Linked DNA regions of Neodiprion lecontei. The protein of the gene in region 1 interacts with the protein of each later gene in a pairwise test. Links are inferred from orthologs where the notes say so. Each region holds a gene or a part of one and is shown on either strand. Other genes may lie near its edges.

The links. The genes of interacting proteins can lie anywhere in the genome.
Region 2: the proteins of splicing factor 3A subunit 1 (region 1) and splicing factor 3A subunit 2 interact in a two-hybrid assay, tested with the Caenorhabditis elegans proteins (2 studies listed by BioGRID). The link is inferred for Neodiprion lecontei from reciprocal best matches to the Caenorhabditis elegans genes prp-21 and repo-1.

What each region holds. Positions count from the first base shown.
Region 1 is NC_060260.1:1,605,554-1,613,710, forward strand, and holds the start of splicing factor 3A subunit 1, read left to right. Parts: upstream 1-3,818; 5' UTR 3,819-4,013; coding exon 4,014-4,119; intron 4,120-4,382; coding exon 4,383-4,713; intron 4,714-4,794; coding exon 4,795-4,954; intron 4,955-5,022; coding exon 5,023-5,304; intron 5,305-5,425; coding exon 5,426-5,533; intron 5,534-5,693; coding exon 5,694-5,859; intron 5,860-5,942; coding exon 5,943-6,626; intron 6,627-6,704; coding exon 6,705-6,766; intron 6,767-6,886; coding exon 6,887-6,994; intron 6,995-7,095; coding exon 7,096-7,269; intron 7,270-7,364; coding exon 7,365-7,466; 3' UTR 7,467-7,477; intron 7,478-7,643; exon of another isoform or gene 7,644-8,157. Other genes in the region: probable enoyl-CoA hydratase, read right to left, coding at 40-154; FAST kinase domain-containing protein 4, read right to left, coding at 929-1,142, 1,256-1,331, 1,412-1,573, 1,673-1,756, 1,843-1,987, 2,069-2,314, 2,416-2,565, 2,628-3,089 and 1 more.
Region 2 is NC_060265.1:2,960,593-2,969,638, reverse strand, and holds splicing factor 3A subunit 2, read right to left. Parts: upstream 5,772-9,046; 5' UTR 5,407-5,771; intron 5,380-5,406; exon of another isoform or gene 5,229-5,379; intron 5,225-5,228; exon of another isoform or gene 5,122-5,224; intron 5,064-5,121; 5' UTR 5,043-5,063; coding exon 4,497-5,042; intron 4,407-4,496; coding exon 4,131-4,406; 3' UTR 2,573-4,130; downstream 1-2,572.

The sequences.
Region 1 (8,157 bases):
TGACATTGGAAATGGAATTGATTCAGGTATTTTACTCGCCTTTAGTCGGCTCGCATAATTCTACGGCCGCGGCTGGTTTTGAGGTTAGAGATTTTTTTAAATGACGCCTGATCTCCCTGCTCAGCGACGGAATCAAACGTCTCGCGGAAAACATTTTTCTCCGTGTTATTTTCCTAACACAATTCAGCTAATCGATTAATACTTTGATCCTTTAAGGATTTAAGCACATTTAATTTTCTCCCGACGTAACGTCCACGGATCAACAACTCGCACATGCGTGTATCTGATGGCGGTTGGTCAATGAAACCAACCAAATTGGCGTCGCCACTTGCTTGATGTTGGTATTTGATCAGGAATCCCTAACGGGATGCAGGCGATATCTCTAATCATTCTCCCAATTTTTAAAACATAGTCGAACACGCAGGGGACTGCGGCATTTCTACGCAAGTAAAATATTCAGTTACTCGTTAAGGTATGAAAGTAAAACTAAAATTACATGATGTAAATTCTTTATTTTTACTACGTCGCGAACTTCACAAATTTTTCGCATAATCTCGAACAGGATCAGGTCGTATTGGTGATTTGCGAATGAGAATGTTCTTTGTATACCTATGCCTTTTGGACCGTATTTTTTTTTTTTTCTTTTTTTTTTGCACACCACTTTTTCCGTCTGCGAGTTCACCGTCGTCGATTTATGTTTTTGTTACGAAAGTAGTTCTTCGATTTTCACGTCTAGAATTTTGTGTTTCGTAAGGAAAAAAATAATGGCATAACATTGATCGACCTTTTGAGAAATGGGTCAAGTTAAACTTGCTCAATTGTCGTTCACAATGGTGTGCCATTCGCATATTCCCCCCCCCCCCCCCCTTCAATTAATTTGTTAATTGTTTAATCACGGATTAATAGTAACAAATTATGAAATTTGACCCTAGGTACTACTCGACTGAACCGTTAACCGTATTTTTTCCTTTAAGTATTTAACACGTGTTACTAATTTATCCTGTGGATTAAATTCTGTATAAGGTACAAGCACTACTTTGTATCCCTTAGCTTGTAGTAGTCGGATGATCAGCGAATATAAACCCACACACTCTTGGACCCCTCGGCAAAAGTCGTTGTAATAAAGGCTAATCACCGCAAGTCTAAAACAGCAATTTTCAAAATTTTCACAAATAGATTTCAAAGATATAATAAGCGAACGTCATATTCATTTGTATATAGGTACCCCATTCCTTAACAAACTTTACACACTTACCTCGTAGCATTACTGTGTTTCGCCGCTTGACCAATCGGTAGTGGATTGCATTTATCGTCCACATAGCATTCCGCATCTGCGGAATGATAAATCATAAAGAAAAGTTATGAGCTAATTATATCAACTTATCAATGATTCCAATTAATTATAGCTCACCTATAATAAAGCCCATTCCGGTGTTCTCATTGATTTTCAGACAAGTTGATGAAGCGAATAGATTGGAAAGGGTATCGTGCACGGAGGTAACATAGAGCTGTTTTTCTTTGGGTCTATTGATGAATGTCTCATCCGAATTGAGGTCTTCGTTTAAAAATGGCCCTAAATCACATAATCAGATCTCTCGATAAACGAAATACATTTATTAAATATATTTTCAATTATTTTAGAATGATGGCCCATAGTCAACTGCAAACTTACCCGTATAATTTGGGATTAGTAATTTGGCTGCAGCATTAACGTTGAGCAGCTTCACCTTCCTTGGCACCGTCAGACATTGTAAGTCTGTGAAATTTAACCAGAATCGTGATAAGGATCAATGGTATTCACGACCCAGTTTCACTTCAATTCAGAAATATATTTTGAGATACCTGTCAATTTTTGGATAAAAACTGAGTTCAAGGTGCAAGCAACTTGGACAGGATCTGCTATTCCTAGAATTACAGTTGCCCAGACAACATCAAGCCATATTTCCGAAGCGGATACATCAGTCTCCTTCAATGGCTTTATGAATGCCTAGACCATTCAGTAATAAAAATTGAAAAAGCTTCGCAGACAAGAAAAGAGAGGAAAACCAATTCTAAGTAAGTTTGGTACCTTATGCAATTCTGTCATGTTGAAAGGTATGTGTTGAACAGTGGCTAAAGTTAACAACAGGGATGTGATGTACTGTGGCTTCAGTGATCGTGGCTCTGCCAAGATCCATTCGCATAACGCATCCAACAGTTCGGTATTTTTATATCGGAGAAAGCCCAAGGATGTTACGACTGAGCCTATTACAGCGGTACCATTATTCTCAGGAATACGTATGATTAATTCTGAGCTAACTTTCTCCATCAGTACCTACACATTTTTCCCAATATTTGTACATGCCAGAAAAGTGTTGATCTTTGATATTTTGTCTTAAGTAATGATAAGCAGAAAAAAATATTTCGTTTTCATACCTCATCTGGAAAGTTCAGCACAGCCAATGAAAATAGAATGTCAGCACATTCTTTTACATTCATTTTCTCAGTGCTGCGAGAGATATGGTACGACAAAGATCTCAATATGGGTAGGGATCTTCTCCGCTTGTGAGCCAAGGTGGTAAGTACCTAAGAACAGAATGTATTAGGAAAAGAAAACAACTTTGCATGTTTACCGAATTAGGGCTGACCTGGGTCATCTGAGCGAGAGATAGGGTAGAAATGAGTTTTGCTGCCTCATCATCTCCCGCAAGGCTGAGCACAGTTTTTAAATCACCATGTTCGTGGGGTTTGGATGTTGTCGATTGTTCAGCCTGTCCTGCAAGCTGTTTGCAAAGCGACAAGAACCTCGGATCTTTCTCAAAGTCTGCCGGAGTGATTGTCTTTGCATTAATCCACTCGGAGAGAATAGACATAATGTTGAGACCATCTCTTTGAGATATTTTCTCATTTCCTGCTATGCTTAATAACTTGTCGATGGTATTAGCCTCAGAAATATCTTTTCTAATGGAGGATTTTGAAGACCTATCGGCCACTGTTTTCGTGTCATTCAGTATTGCGGCAAATGCCGCTTCGACTAGTTTGTTTTCGGACTTTAGTTTCGGTTTACTCTGCTTTGTACTGGTTTGCTGTTGGACTGGTTTCTTGGGCTGCTGAATTTCAAGAGACAGTAAATGACAAGTGATCAAGAAGGATTAGGAACACTTGTGCAGTAGGCGATAATAGAAATAAATGTAATAAAATTAGGAAAAGACAGCTGAAGGCAAGTTAAGCAGGGAATAAAAACTAAGCTACCAGTTTGTGTATTACTTTGTCAATGGATAGCAAACCTTGTCAACAATAGAAGCAATGTCAGGAACAGGGGCTGCGGAACTGCTGAGTGTTAACAACTGCTGCGAATTAATCCTCCATATCGTACGAGGGGCGAACCTAGTTACCACGTTACACATGGTTCCGCCAAATTGTAGCATTGCCATTAATCTGGAAAATGAATAATTCTTTATGTAATATGCCATAGCATATAAGCAGAAGGACTAGCCCTACTCTGTTCCCAATAACACGTGACATAACACTAAGAGTAACAGGTGATGTTATAAATGACACTCACTCTATATTTACAGGTTAAATGTGTGACGATTATTTCACAGATCATACGTATTTATAAATTATATTATTATCAATTTATGATTTCATATTGAGGTTATGCGGCTGCTGCACATTCGCTCTGCAGTCTGTATTTAAAAGGAACCGTAGATACGAAACTCTGACAGCATATCAAAGAATACATTGACGGGTTGGCGCAATGCGAACCTAGTGGAGTAACGATCAACCAACAGTCAAATAGAGATCATGTCAGCTAGCTCGCTGTTCAATTATTCGCACACCCGGACCCTTTTGGTGTTTCTTAGTAGTCTATGGTAGTTCCATTGAGTTCCTTGAAGTCTGGATATCGCCCTGATTTCGGATTCTTGTGTGCCTTTACGTTCCTCTCGCTGCGGAGTTTAGTTGAATTTTTGCCCTTCTAAATGACGAGTGAATAATTGTTACAACGAGTTGCGAATAGAGCTACGGAAAGAATGCCGGCTCAAGAAATAGTAACTCCCCAACCAGCGGAAGTCGAGGATGCCGCGCCGTCCTCGCAGCCGATCGTCGGCATCATATACCCTCCCCCGGAGGTTAGGAGTATCCTTTATCGAAACTGAATTTTCGAGCAACGTTTTTTCATTTTTTCACTCATCACCCGCTCTTCTAAATTTGCTTAAAATGTGTAAGAACTTTGTAACTGATCGTAACGCGCACCTTTCAGGTGGAGGATAGTAATCAATCGAACCGCTTTTGAAAGAGCCAGTGGGTAAACGAGAGCGAATCGTAAGTCGATGTTGTAAAAATAACAAATCATCACGGAAATATCTTTCAGGTATCAATTTCCTTACACAGCTGATCAGATATCGTTGATAAGACGGCTAGTTTTGTTGCTAGAAATGGCCCAGAGTTTGAGTCGAGGATCCGTCAAAACGAGCTTGGCAACCCAAAGTTCAATTTCCTCAACTTTGGCGATCCGTATCATGCTTATTATCAGCACAAAGTTAAGGAATTCAAGGAGGGAAAGGCACAGGAGCCTGTCATCGGTCTGGGCGTTGGTAAAGGTGTGAATCTCACAGCCCACCAGAAACAACAAGAAATTTTGAAGCAAGTCGAACAGCCGTTCGTACCCAAGGATCCGCCAGTTGATTTTGAATTCATTGCTGATCCCCCGTCTATTTCCGCTCTAGATTTGTAGGCTTACTTTTATTTTACTCTTACTGAATTTATTTTGTATTGCATCCGGTCCATTTTAAACTGTCAATTATTTTACAGAGACATTGTCAAACTGACAGCTCAGTTTGTAGCTCGTAATGGGCGCCAATTTTTGACCAATCTAATGAATCGTGAGCAGAGGAATTTTCAATTTGACTTTTTGCGTCCTCAGCACTCTCTCTTTCAATATTTCACTAAGCTGCTTGAACAGTATACAAAGGTAAGCCCGGTTCGAATACAGAAATGCATATAGAATAGAAATTGGTATTTCATTTATTTGTGCAACAGGTGCTGATTCCTCCGAAAGATTTACTTCCTCGGCTGCGAGATGAAGCCGCGAACATGGACAAGATATTAGAACAAGTGAAATATCGCGCAGAGTGGCTCAAGTATCAGGAGGCACAGAGGCGCAAAGAGGAAGAGGAATTAGAGCGTGAAAGAGTTGCTTATGCTCAAATTGATTGGCATGATTTTGTTGTCGTTGAAACGGTTGACTACCAACAGTTTGAAGTTGGGAATTTCCCCGCTCCCACAACTCCGGACGAGGTTGGAGCTCGTGTTTTGATGCAGGTGCGTGGATTTTCAGTCGTAAACTGTTCAAATGCTATTCAACTTCACACGACACGATTGAATAAGTTTTTAATTTAGTATCACCGGATTAGGACATGTTCTGAGTGAGTTTTTCTTTCAGGAACGCATTGAGGATGGAGAGGAGGTGGAAATGCAGATTGAAAGTGACGGGGATGAAGAGCTCCACTCTCGCGAGGGTGAGAAAGACAGAGCAAAAGATAACAACCAGGTGAATGTCAAGAAATACTGTGAATTAAAAAATTCTGTCCATGCATGAGAATTTTATGTGAATTTCGCAATTATTTTTGTGCTTATCATTATATTATTAGGAGATAATCGCTAATATCGCATGTCAGCAGTATCAGACATTGTAACACCAGTTTTTCCAGGTCCAAGATATGGAGGAAGATTCCAGTGATGACGACGACGTTTCGCCTCCTGGAGATTCAAACAGAGGCAAAGACCAGAGACACCGCGATACCATGCAACCACCGCCGCTACCTCCAACCCCGGGCAATGTCGTCGTCAAGAAGGGGTACGATCCGAAACAACATGGTAAGCTGATGAAGTGTCTCGAGTTTAGGTTATTCGTCGACAACATCGTACACCGCCATCTAATCCAACGAATTAATATCTAGCTTCCGTGAAGAATACTCGCCCCACTGCGCCAGATGAGTATTTGATATCTCCTATAACTGGGGAGAGAATCCCAGCAAGCAAAGTGCAAGAACACATGCGAATTGGTCTGCTGGATCCTCGCTGGGTGGAGCAGCGTGATAAGCACCTGGACAAACTGGCCCAAGAGACCGTATTCGCTCCTGGTACGGCGATAGAAGCAAGTTTGAAGCAGCTGGCCGAGCGGCGTACGGATATTTTCGGTGTGGGAGATGAGGAGACAGCTATTGGTAAGAAGATCGGTGAAGAGGACAAGAAGAAAGACGACAAGGTTACGTGGGACGGTCACACGTCGAGCGTTGAGGCCGCTACGCGCGCCGCTCGCGCTAATATTACACTTGAAGAGCAAATACATCAAATCCATAAGGTTAAAGGCCTTCTGCCTGATGAGGAAAAGGAGAAAATCGGGCCTAAACCCGCCACTCGAGCTGCTGAACTCTCCCACATGGCGGCTGCGGCTTCCAAGCCTCAGGCGACCCTGAAAGCTCCTCCAAAGCCACCCGCGCCCAAACCCGTACCGGTTCCTGCTCAACCACCACCCCCTTCGATTGGAATGTCGACGATGGGTATTCCGCAACCCATAATGCCTCAACCACCTATGATGATGATGGCACCCATGCCGCCGATTCGGCCGCCCCCCTTAATGAGTAAGTTTCACTTCGTCTTTCTGCAGTAATAAAATTTTTTCATCACGTAAGGTTTCATTGTGTTTTCTAATATTGCAGCACCAGCAATGTCGCCGTTCATGCCAACGCCACCCCCGATGCAGCCGCCGTTACCAAGTGGGGTAAGATTTACTTTAATTTACTAAAATTTCACGCACAGCAGCCGTAAAATCGTTATTCTTTTTGTGATATTCCCGACTTTGTTTCGTTACGTATCTACTTGTCCGTTCAAAAAATTGTAGATTGGTATAAAGCATCCTGGCGAGCCAATGGAAGAAGAACCGCAAGCAAAGAAATTGCGTACCGAAGATTCCTTGATACCGGAGCAACAGTTCTTGGCTAGAAATAAGGTAAGTGTTATTAATTGTTTTGCTTTCTCGTTTCGCAGGATTATTCAAGCAACAATCCCACGTTCAAGCTATAATTTTTAACAATGTAATCCGCTGTTCAGGGTCCGGTGCAAGTCAATATCGCCGTTCCTATGATGACCGAGAAAGCTGAGTGGAAGTTGAACGGACAAACTCTGAACATCACGCTGCAATTGAGCGATACCATTGCTACAATGAAGGCAAGCATTCACGAACAGACTGGAATGCCGCCTGGGAAACAAAAGCTTCAATACGAGGTGATTATTGCGATTTATCATACATATATCGGAAACCACTTGTCCTTATTCATTTGTGCGCATTTTGAAATCGTGCTTTAACATTCTTTTTCCAGGGAATGTTCTTCAAGGACAACAACACTCTCGGTTACTATAATTTAGCCTCGGGTAACGTGATAAACCTTTTACCAAAGGAGCGCGGTGGCAGGAAGAAGTAAAAGTTTTTCAGGTAATTACGGCAATTGATTATAAAAATGTCAGTCAATCGACCTACCCTAAGAGAATTTTTAATTTCACTTATACGCTGGATATGCAACAAACTTAAAACTACGTATATTAGTGACTTCTTTTCTTTCTAAGGAAAAGGTAAACCGATTAAATTATCCAACCTCTTATCGAATAAATAATCATCATGGGAATAATATTTTATTAAAACTTGTACTTTACATGGAATTTAGGCACATGGGTGTAAGTTAAATAATTTTTTTTCTCCTCATTCTTCAACAACTTAGAGCGAAATTTCTGAATTTTCTCCTGATTGTATCTTAGCCAGGTAGTCTTTTTGTGCCTTCAAGTACTCAAATTTGCCTAAACAAAGCATAGCTGTTACAAGTTTGCAGTCGGATTACTTGATGAAACTTTTGTCGTTATTTCGCCTACTTACTTCACCATAAATTATATAATATGCCTATTGTATATTATAGTGGAAATGGAATGCGCTAAGTTAAATTATATTATGCAGCGATATTATTGCCATTCGAGTAGATGAAAATTATCCTCGAGTAAATTATATTATTATCCATACATAAAATATCACCTGGATGCCGTTCAAATGTAATTTCACTAACCATTGACTATAAAGAGATATCGATTAATTAAATTGGAATAAACTTTTAAACAAGCAGTAGA
Region 2 (9,046 bases), on another chromosome or scaffold:
GTAGAAATTGTTCTTATATTGAGTGAATTAAAATATAAGTTGGATAGTTAGTGTGCAAAATATATTATACAATCTATCAGCTTATATGAACGTCACACGAGTAGGTTCATGAAACCTACTAAATTTTGAAACTAATAATATGTACTGGAAATTGGAATACACGAAAGTAGTACAAAAATTGAACTATTTATCGACTTTTGAATTATCTAGCACCAGTCTCAATATCACCATGCTTGTGGGTCATCTTATTATATAACAGGCCTAACGTTAAATGCCATTACTTACAAAGTAATATTTATTATTGTGATTATTTGTGTAAGTCAAATATTTTTCTGGATATTACGAAGATCCCATACCAAGCCCGCGAATACATTTGATAGTAACTACCCATGCGGATCTGTACTATGTAATTGTTTGGATGTATAACTATAAAACCTTATTCGATCTACAAGTTAGCAAGGAACTAACAAACGCAAGATACAGTTTCAGTAAAGCAATAAAGTTTCAAAATTATTTCTTCACTGTGAATAATAAATGATGTATTTCAATATAGAGTTAGAACTCCGCTAGTGTCAATTGCAATATGGTCAATATACATTTCCTATCCCAGTACCCTTTCTCTGACGGTTTGCTGCTTTGCTAGTTGAGGCTGCAATCACTTACTGCAGCTAGAAGCGAACGGGTTGAGGTTCCCTGTCACCCAAGGACCTAGAAAAAGTCAATGAAGTCATTGAGCTCTTCCGACACCCTGAATGGTCTTCCCGAGCATTTGACACAAGCTAGGTTCCAATGTAACAAGTTTCTTGAACTGGTAATTGACATAGAAAAGAAGCAGATCGAGTAATCTAAAAAAAAAAAAAAATTAAAATAAACCGTTAGAACCACAATTACTCGTCTTAATGTCGTTATCCTCCATATGATGTGTTACATTCTTTACCACCCCACGGTTTTCTGCTATACTTTTGAAAACAACTTTGCTATTTCACTGATTCTCAAATCACTTTACTAGCATCCAATTCCTTCAATAATAATTGTATTTTGTGATAAAGTGCCTACAAATAAAGGTCTTCTGTGTTGCAGGAGGTAGCCAATCTGTAGCGAGTTACGAAGATTTGAGCTCCAGTAGCTTCAGCTCGGCCAGCAGAGCCTCCCTGGATGCACGAAGTTCACCAACGCCTTCCTACGGAGCCGAGAATATGATGGTTTTTCCAGGGGACAGTAGTGGATCTATTTGAGATTATCTGAGGTGCGCAGCCATGTTGCCAAAGTGGTTACGCTGCCTCAGATAGAAACGGGTTATCGATAGATAACCATTCATTGATCATTCGTCAGATGGTTTCGACAATCGTGCAAAACCTTCGACTCCTACTGAACACGGGGTTAAATTTGGAACTGGGGGTGCAACTATGCGATAGTGGGAAATTTTTGGATTTTGAATTTTCAGCCAAAACCCGAAGTACAAGTAGCAAAATTTCATGCTGTTCCAAAGTTGCACCCCTAGTTTAAAGTTGTCCGAGTTAATGGTATATCAGAATATAAAAGCATATATATAAATATGTACGCACATTTATGTATATACCACGTGTCGTAATGCCAAATTTCATTATCAGATCGTGTGAAAGAGTAAAAATCTCTATACGAAGTTGCCTGAAGATGCTGAAAAGATCTTATTCAGCCCATGGCATTTCTAATATGTCGAAATCAAATTAGCAAAGTTTATTCTAAATTCAACGCTACAGATTTTTTACCGACATGTATTTAGTCATGGTTGATGTCAAAATAGATTGAACTAATCTTTACTGACCAATGTTTCAACTAATTTTGAAATGCAAAATTAATGCGAACCATTCTGCTCGCCGTCAATGGAATGCTGATACATTTAATTCTATTGTACGCTATGTACCCTTGGGACAAAGTGTCATAGGGCATACCATAAATATTAATAATTTACTGTATGATACATATTACTATGACATTGCAGGAGCGTAAACTCCTACGTATAGACGTATTAAAATGCAGCTCTTATTTGATACATAAAATGGAGCACTGTTAGCACTGCAAAACTGTTCCTTTTGTTGGTAGAGAAAATTAAATTAAAAAATTTGCAGTATCAGCATCCATATACATAAGATTCATTGCTCATAAACATACAGATCTACATATTGTGCATTCTATACTTGTGAAAATAATGAAAACAGACCCGGGGTACAGAATGCAGCACTAATTTAAACCTCCCCAACTAGAAGTGTGCGGTTTTGCACTAACAATAGAGCCAACTATACTCTGCGGCTAATCGGGTGTTCATTACAAGAGAAATTATATGTATAGCATGCAGATAGATTGTCGTTTTATATTTGAGACAATTGATCAGTAAGAGCACTTAATGATTATAAATTTAAGGAGAGCATCAGATTAATCCTCATGGCAGAGTCTGTAGATAAGTCGCACTGCTTTCAAAATTATAAGCATAAGAATACTGCTGCAGGTACATCTACCTTAGCTACTATTAGTACGAAAGAACGTAAACAGAGAGAACACGACATAAGTAAAAGAAACAAAGTAAAACAACTGGTTCAAGAAACAAGCATTTATTTTGCACCTAAAATATTTTTTTATTATGTCGATTGTTATTTTTATATAATGTAGTGGTAGTGTTGAAAATTCCAAATAGTATATAAGTTTTCATTTGAGTTCGATTTTTGAAAGTTCGCAATCATTATAGGTATATCTAATTCTATGTAGTCACATCTCATTAGTTTGTACGGATTATGAAATTTATTGTTAGTACACTTCATATATCAGACTTGATGCACTGACACTCCATTCCAATTGGTGATTGTATTAGTGTAACATGATGGAAAAATTCTCCACAGATAAATTATCATAAAACGCTGTATTAGTTTGTTATGGGGCTAGTAAAAATATGAAAACAGCTGTCAGCTTATGCAAAATCGTTAAGATCAATCATAGAGAGTATACAGATATATATATATGTGCATCATACTTAATGTAAATTCAACATAAGTTACAAACGTCAAGTAATTCTGGACATTCCATACCATTTGTTGCAAAATTTACAATTACGCAAAGGCAGTGTCGTGAAAAAATTGCACAAGCAATGACTTCATTCGTAATCAACAAATTCTCTTCCTCGTAAATTATATGACTCCATTGGTGATTTAATAATTTAAGCTGTGATTAAGAATATATGATACTAGTAATAACAATGATGCCTAGTGTGAGAGAAAAACTTGTAAGGAGAAAATTATACTAACGAATAAGCAGTAATAATCGGTCATGTTATAACGATACTTAATTATTCAAGCTTTTATATTATACTATACTACGGATATCATGAGATGTACCTATAATAAAATATGGTAGACAGTCTATACTTGTAATCAGGATTACACTAGCGTAGCCGAATGTGACAGCAAGTTTTGCTGATGTATGACGCCGGTGTGAACTCAATTTACTCTATGTACTTTCAAGGTGGTTGATTTTGTCACAATGCCGTTAGATGAAGAATTTAAGTTGTCAATGATAGAATCAATTGCTGTGGGTGTACACATTCCACCACGTATGATACGTGGTAGGTAATTGAAACCTGCATTTCATTGTACCGTTGTTGTAATATAAAATTTTGATACATTCAAACGCGTGAATTTCATGAATATTTTGTATAATAATGACTTGCTGAAGCACAATTGAATCAGTACCATTTGCAATACCTCTTATAAATCGATGCATTGGTGACATGTTTACAATTGGAGTACACCTTGAAACAATATATTCCAACCTGAAATCCTTTGGAAAGTTCGGATCACTCTCACATTTTGTCTTGGTTAAAAAAAATCAAGATTGGTTTTTGAAAACATTCTTCTTCCATGATATTAATATTGCATCTGCAGCATCATTTTGTAGGAAGATGACAAGAAATATTCATGAAAACTAGAACACATAGGAGCTCTGTAGACTACACCACTTCCATTTCCAACCTCAAATTTTTGTCGTAACTTCAGAACCAATCTCTGTCCTATTCTGTGATAGTGCAACTTACACTTGATGGATGAATGACCATTGAACAGATAAAAATATTCAGCTTTATCCACACAGCTACTAAATTTTATTTAATTCAGATGAGGTGGTGGAGGTGGAATTTGCATTCCAGCCAATAATGCAGGGGGCGGGGGTACTGGATTGAACATTGGGGGTTTTGGTGGCGGTGGAACAGGCATCATAGGTGCTCCCATCCCTGGCCGTATAAGTGGAACGGGAGGAGGTGGAATTTTACCAATTGATGGTTTTTCATTTTTGAATGCAAATTGAAGAAAGAATTGTTTCGTGTCCTTATTCCAATGTGTCCAAAATTTGCCCTCAGCCTTCTCTACTTCTCTGCTGGGAACCTGATGATGAAACATTGCAAATATTATTCAAATGAGAAAGAAGGAAATCTGTCTGAAACATTCCGTAATCCATTGCTGTAAGCAAGTTACCTTGAACGCGATAGTCTCGTATGGTTCGGCAGCAAACAGCAGGTATTGCCATTTACGATCTGGGGGTTCAACTCGTTGTTCATATGCAGACATAAATCTGTGTCGTGGTATCACATTGTCAGCAACTTCTGGGTAGTCAACTTGAAAAAGTAAGCTTTGCTGACCAGATTCTGGATCTCTCTGTTTTGTCACCCTATAACCAGGCCGACCAATTTTGACAAATTTTTTTGGTTCAACTCTCGGTTTTTCAGGAGCAAGAGTTTGCGGAGCTTCTTTAGCTTCCTTCGCAGCTCTTCTAGCTAGATTTGCCTGATGCTTTTTACCCTGTGTGTGCGCCAAGTAACTTCCTTCGTTGTTGTGCAGCGTCAAGCAAAGCTTGCATTCATATGAGCCCAAGTGATTTTTCATAAAGTAGGGATCCTTGTTTAAATCAATTGTTTCCAGAGCAAGTTGTCGAAGACGCTCTCTTCGGTCGCGATTACTTTCTGACCAGGAGGCCACTCCTCCGCCCCCAGTTTTACCACCTGGCCTATTTTGGAAATCCATATTGGCTGGGATCTAAAAAATCTGAATATTTCACGCTATTAGTATTCTAAAAGTAATACTGATAAAAATGTGTACTAGCCTAAAATGCGTCAGTTAATCATGCGGCTTAAAGCATTGTGGACGCGTTCTGTTCCTAAAAGTTAGGTTATGGTGTTTTAAGTTTCAATCAGGTTTCAATAATAGCACCTTGAATTTAAAGTCTTTTAGAAAAAGTATGTAAACCTGTAAATTTATAGAAAGTGATGATGTTTCGAGCATCGAGAGGTTACCGCAAGCGTGTCAACTATGAAACTTCAACCATTGCACCGACTGCATGTAATCGATAGCTACATGATAGAAATATGCATGTAAGATCGATACTCACCTTAATTGAAAATCGACTTTTCGTTGCTTTATACTATAATTGCACTGTAGCCTTATTCAAAATGTCTCAATATTGACAGAATTTTTTATATATCGCTGCAGGTGCAATACTCCTCTTTCGCAAATACCCGGCGTATAATACAAATGAAATAAGTATAGTGATATAGTATGTCGCACTCTCGGGTCAAATGTTAAGACCGTGGTTACAAAGAATTAATCTAATGGTCTTTCATACTATCCTCAGAGAAAACTTCGTGTGATTCACCGACGGGAATATAAAAAAAAGACATCGAGAACATCGTGAGACCAATAGTGGAGAACACACAAACAAAATACAGAGAAAGTTCATGTTTTCCGGCCGTAACTTTTAGTCCGCTGCTCACAGCGAGATGAGACGACTGTACGCACGAGAGTCCTTTCGAAAATGACATCGTTATAGGGTCCGAATGAATCAATTTCAGCATTTTTGAAAATCTGTAAAAGATGAATCGATGAAAAATCAAAAGGTGTTAGCCTTACTTCTCTCGTGATTTTCGTCGAGTACGTACTCAATTCCATTCGCGCAATTAGGTTGATGGAATGCAATAGCATGAAAGAATTTATTGTAGCGATATTCGGAATCGTCAAAATTTTACCCTAATACCCAGAGGGCCTTATGCACTTTTTTTTAGTGATTTTTGAAACAAAAGACTGTTTGTCTTAGGGTCTATTTGTATGACTGTTCATAGACTGATTAGACCTTAAGGTTTCCATAAAGGGCGTTTAAATCGATGTGGGACCAACAGCTAACAAAAGAGAAATATATTATGGAAAGGATCCAATGTTTATTTATTTCGATGCAAGATACATAAAGTAGTAACAATACAATACAATACATAATGTTTACAATCCTGCAGAGGTGCGTCGGACTTCTACGCAAGTCAAAACTTGGAGTATAATCTTGATACTATGTGGCAAGTTGTTAAATTACTATACACTGACACGTAAACACTTGTAATAGAATTAGGACAAAATGAATGAGAAGCTGAGACTTCGTAGCTACAAATTTGTGAATTTTCTTTCGCACCTTTCTGATGGCCGTGTGCAGATTTTGTGTTCTAGCCAGATCTTTTGATGTGTTAGTCGGGAGGTTTAGCGTTGTTTATTTTCGATTTTTTAACTCTACACTTTTTCGACTCGGAGCTATTTGTAGGATTTCGTTTTGACTAATTGGGACCTCGGTGACGGAAATAGAACAGCCAAAGAAGTACTCATGAATTTCCGTATTTTTCGGCTGTAACTTTTGATGCGTTGATCGCGGCGTATTGGGACTGCGCCCAATCGATTTCTCTCACAGAACTACGTCGGGACAGTGCCAGAAAGAATTTATTCCAGCTCTTTTGGAAATCGCCAAAATTTTCGCAAAAAATACAGAGGGGTTAGCCTTACTTTTTTTTTGGCAAAAAACTTTTGGTCTCAGATTCGATTTAAACGATCCTTGTCCGACCAATTGGGCCCTCAGGAACTCAGAAATCGCAGCGAAAAGAGCGTAGGACCAACAGGAGAGAAATGGCGAGCGAAAAAGCACCTGCTGAAAAATGTCGAAAATTCAGGTTCTGGTTTTTTGGCTGTAACTTTTGATGCGTTGATCGCAGCGTATTGGGACTGCGCCCAATCGATTTCTCTCGCAAGATTACGTCCGATCTGTGCTACAATTAATTGATTCCAGCACTTTTCAAAATCGCGAAAATTTTCGCCAAAAATGGAAAGGGGTTAGCCTTACTTTTTTATTTGGCAAAAAACTTTTGGTCTCAGATTCGATTTAAACGATCCTTGTCCGACCAATGGGACCCTTAGGAACTCAGAAATCGCAGCGAAAAGAGCGTAGGACCAACAGGAGAGAAATGGCGAGCGAAAAAGCACCTGCTGAAAAATGTCGAAAATTCGGGTTCCGGTTTTTTGGCTGTAACTTTTGATGCGTTGATCGCAGCGTATTGGGACTGCGCCCAATCGATTTCTCTCGCAAAATTACGTCTGATCAGTGCTACAATTAATTGATTCCAGCACTTTTCAAAATCGCGAAAATTTTCGCCAAAAATGGAAAGGGGTTAGCCTTACTTTTTTTTTTGGCAAAAAACTTTTGGTCTCAGATTCGATTCAAACGATCCTTATCCGACCAATTGGACCCTCAGGAACTCAGAAATCGCAGCGAAAAGAGCGTAGGACCAACGGGAGAGAAATGGCGAGCGAAAAAGCACCTGCTGAAAAATGTCGAAAATTCAGGTTCTGGTTTTTTGGCTGTAACTTCTGAAGCGTTGATCGCAGCGTATTGGGACTGCGCCCAATCGATTTCTCTCGCAAAATTACGTCCGATCAGTGCTACAATTGATTGATTCCAGCACTTTTCAAAATCGCGAAAATTTTCGCCAAAAATGGAAAGGGGTTAGCCTTACTTTTTTTTTTGGCAAAAAACTTTTGGTCTCAGATTCGATTTAAACGATCCTTAACCGACCAATTGGACCCTCAGGAACTCAGAAATCGCAGCGAAAAGAGCGTAGGACCAACAGGAGAGAAATGGCGAGCGAAAAAGCACCTGCTGAAAAATGTCGAAAATTCAGGTTCTGGTTTTTTGCTGTAACTTTTGATGCGTTGATCGCAGCGTATTGGGACTGCGCCCAATCGATTTCTCTCGCAAAAGTACGTCCGATCAGTGCTACAATTGATTGATTCCAGCACTCTTCAAAATCGCGAAAATTTTCGCCAAAAATGGAAAGGGGTTAGCCTTACTTTTTTTTTTGGCAAAAAACTTTTGGTCTCAGATTCGATTTAAACGATCCTTGTCCGACCAATGGGACCCTTAGGAACTCAGAAATCGCAGCGAAAAGAGCGTAGGACCAACAGGAGAGAAATGGCGAGCGAAAAAGCACCTGCTGAAAAATGTCGAAAATTCGGGTTCCGGTTTTTTGGCTGTAACTTTTGATGCGTTGATCGCAGCGTATTGGGACTGCGCCCGATCGATTTCTCTCGCAAAATTACGTCCGATCAGTGCTACAATTAATTGATTCCAGCACTTTTCAAAATCGCGAAAATTTTCTCCAAAAATGGAAAGGGGTTAGCCTTACTTTTTTTTTGGCAAAAAACTTTTGGTCTCAGATTCGATTTGAACGATCTTTAACCGACCAATTGGACCCTCAGGAACTCAGAAATCGCAGCGAAAAGAGCGTAGGACCAACAGGAGAGAAATGGCGAGCGAAAAAGCACCTGCTGAAAAATGTCGAAAATTCGGGTTCCGGTTTTTTGGCTGTAACTTTTGATGCGTTGATCGCAGCGTATTGGGACTGCGCCCAATCGATTTCTCTCGCAAAATTACGTCCGATCGGTGCGACAATTGATTGATTTCTGCACTTTTCAAAATCGCGAAAATTTTCGCCAAAAATGGAAAGGGGTTGGCCTTACTTTTTTTTTTGGCAAAAAACTTTTGGTCTCAGATTCGATTTAAACGATCCTTAACCGACCAATTGGACCCTCAGGAACTCAGAAATCGCAGCGAAAAGAGCGTAGGACCAACAGGAGAGAAATGGCGAGCGAAAAAGCACCTGCTGAAAAATGTCGAAAATTCAGGTTCTGGTTTTTTGGCTGTAACTTTTGATGCGTTGATCGCA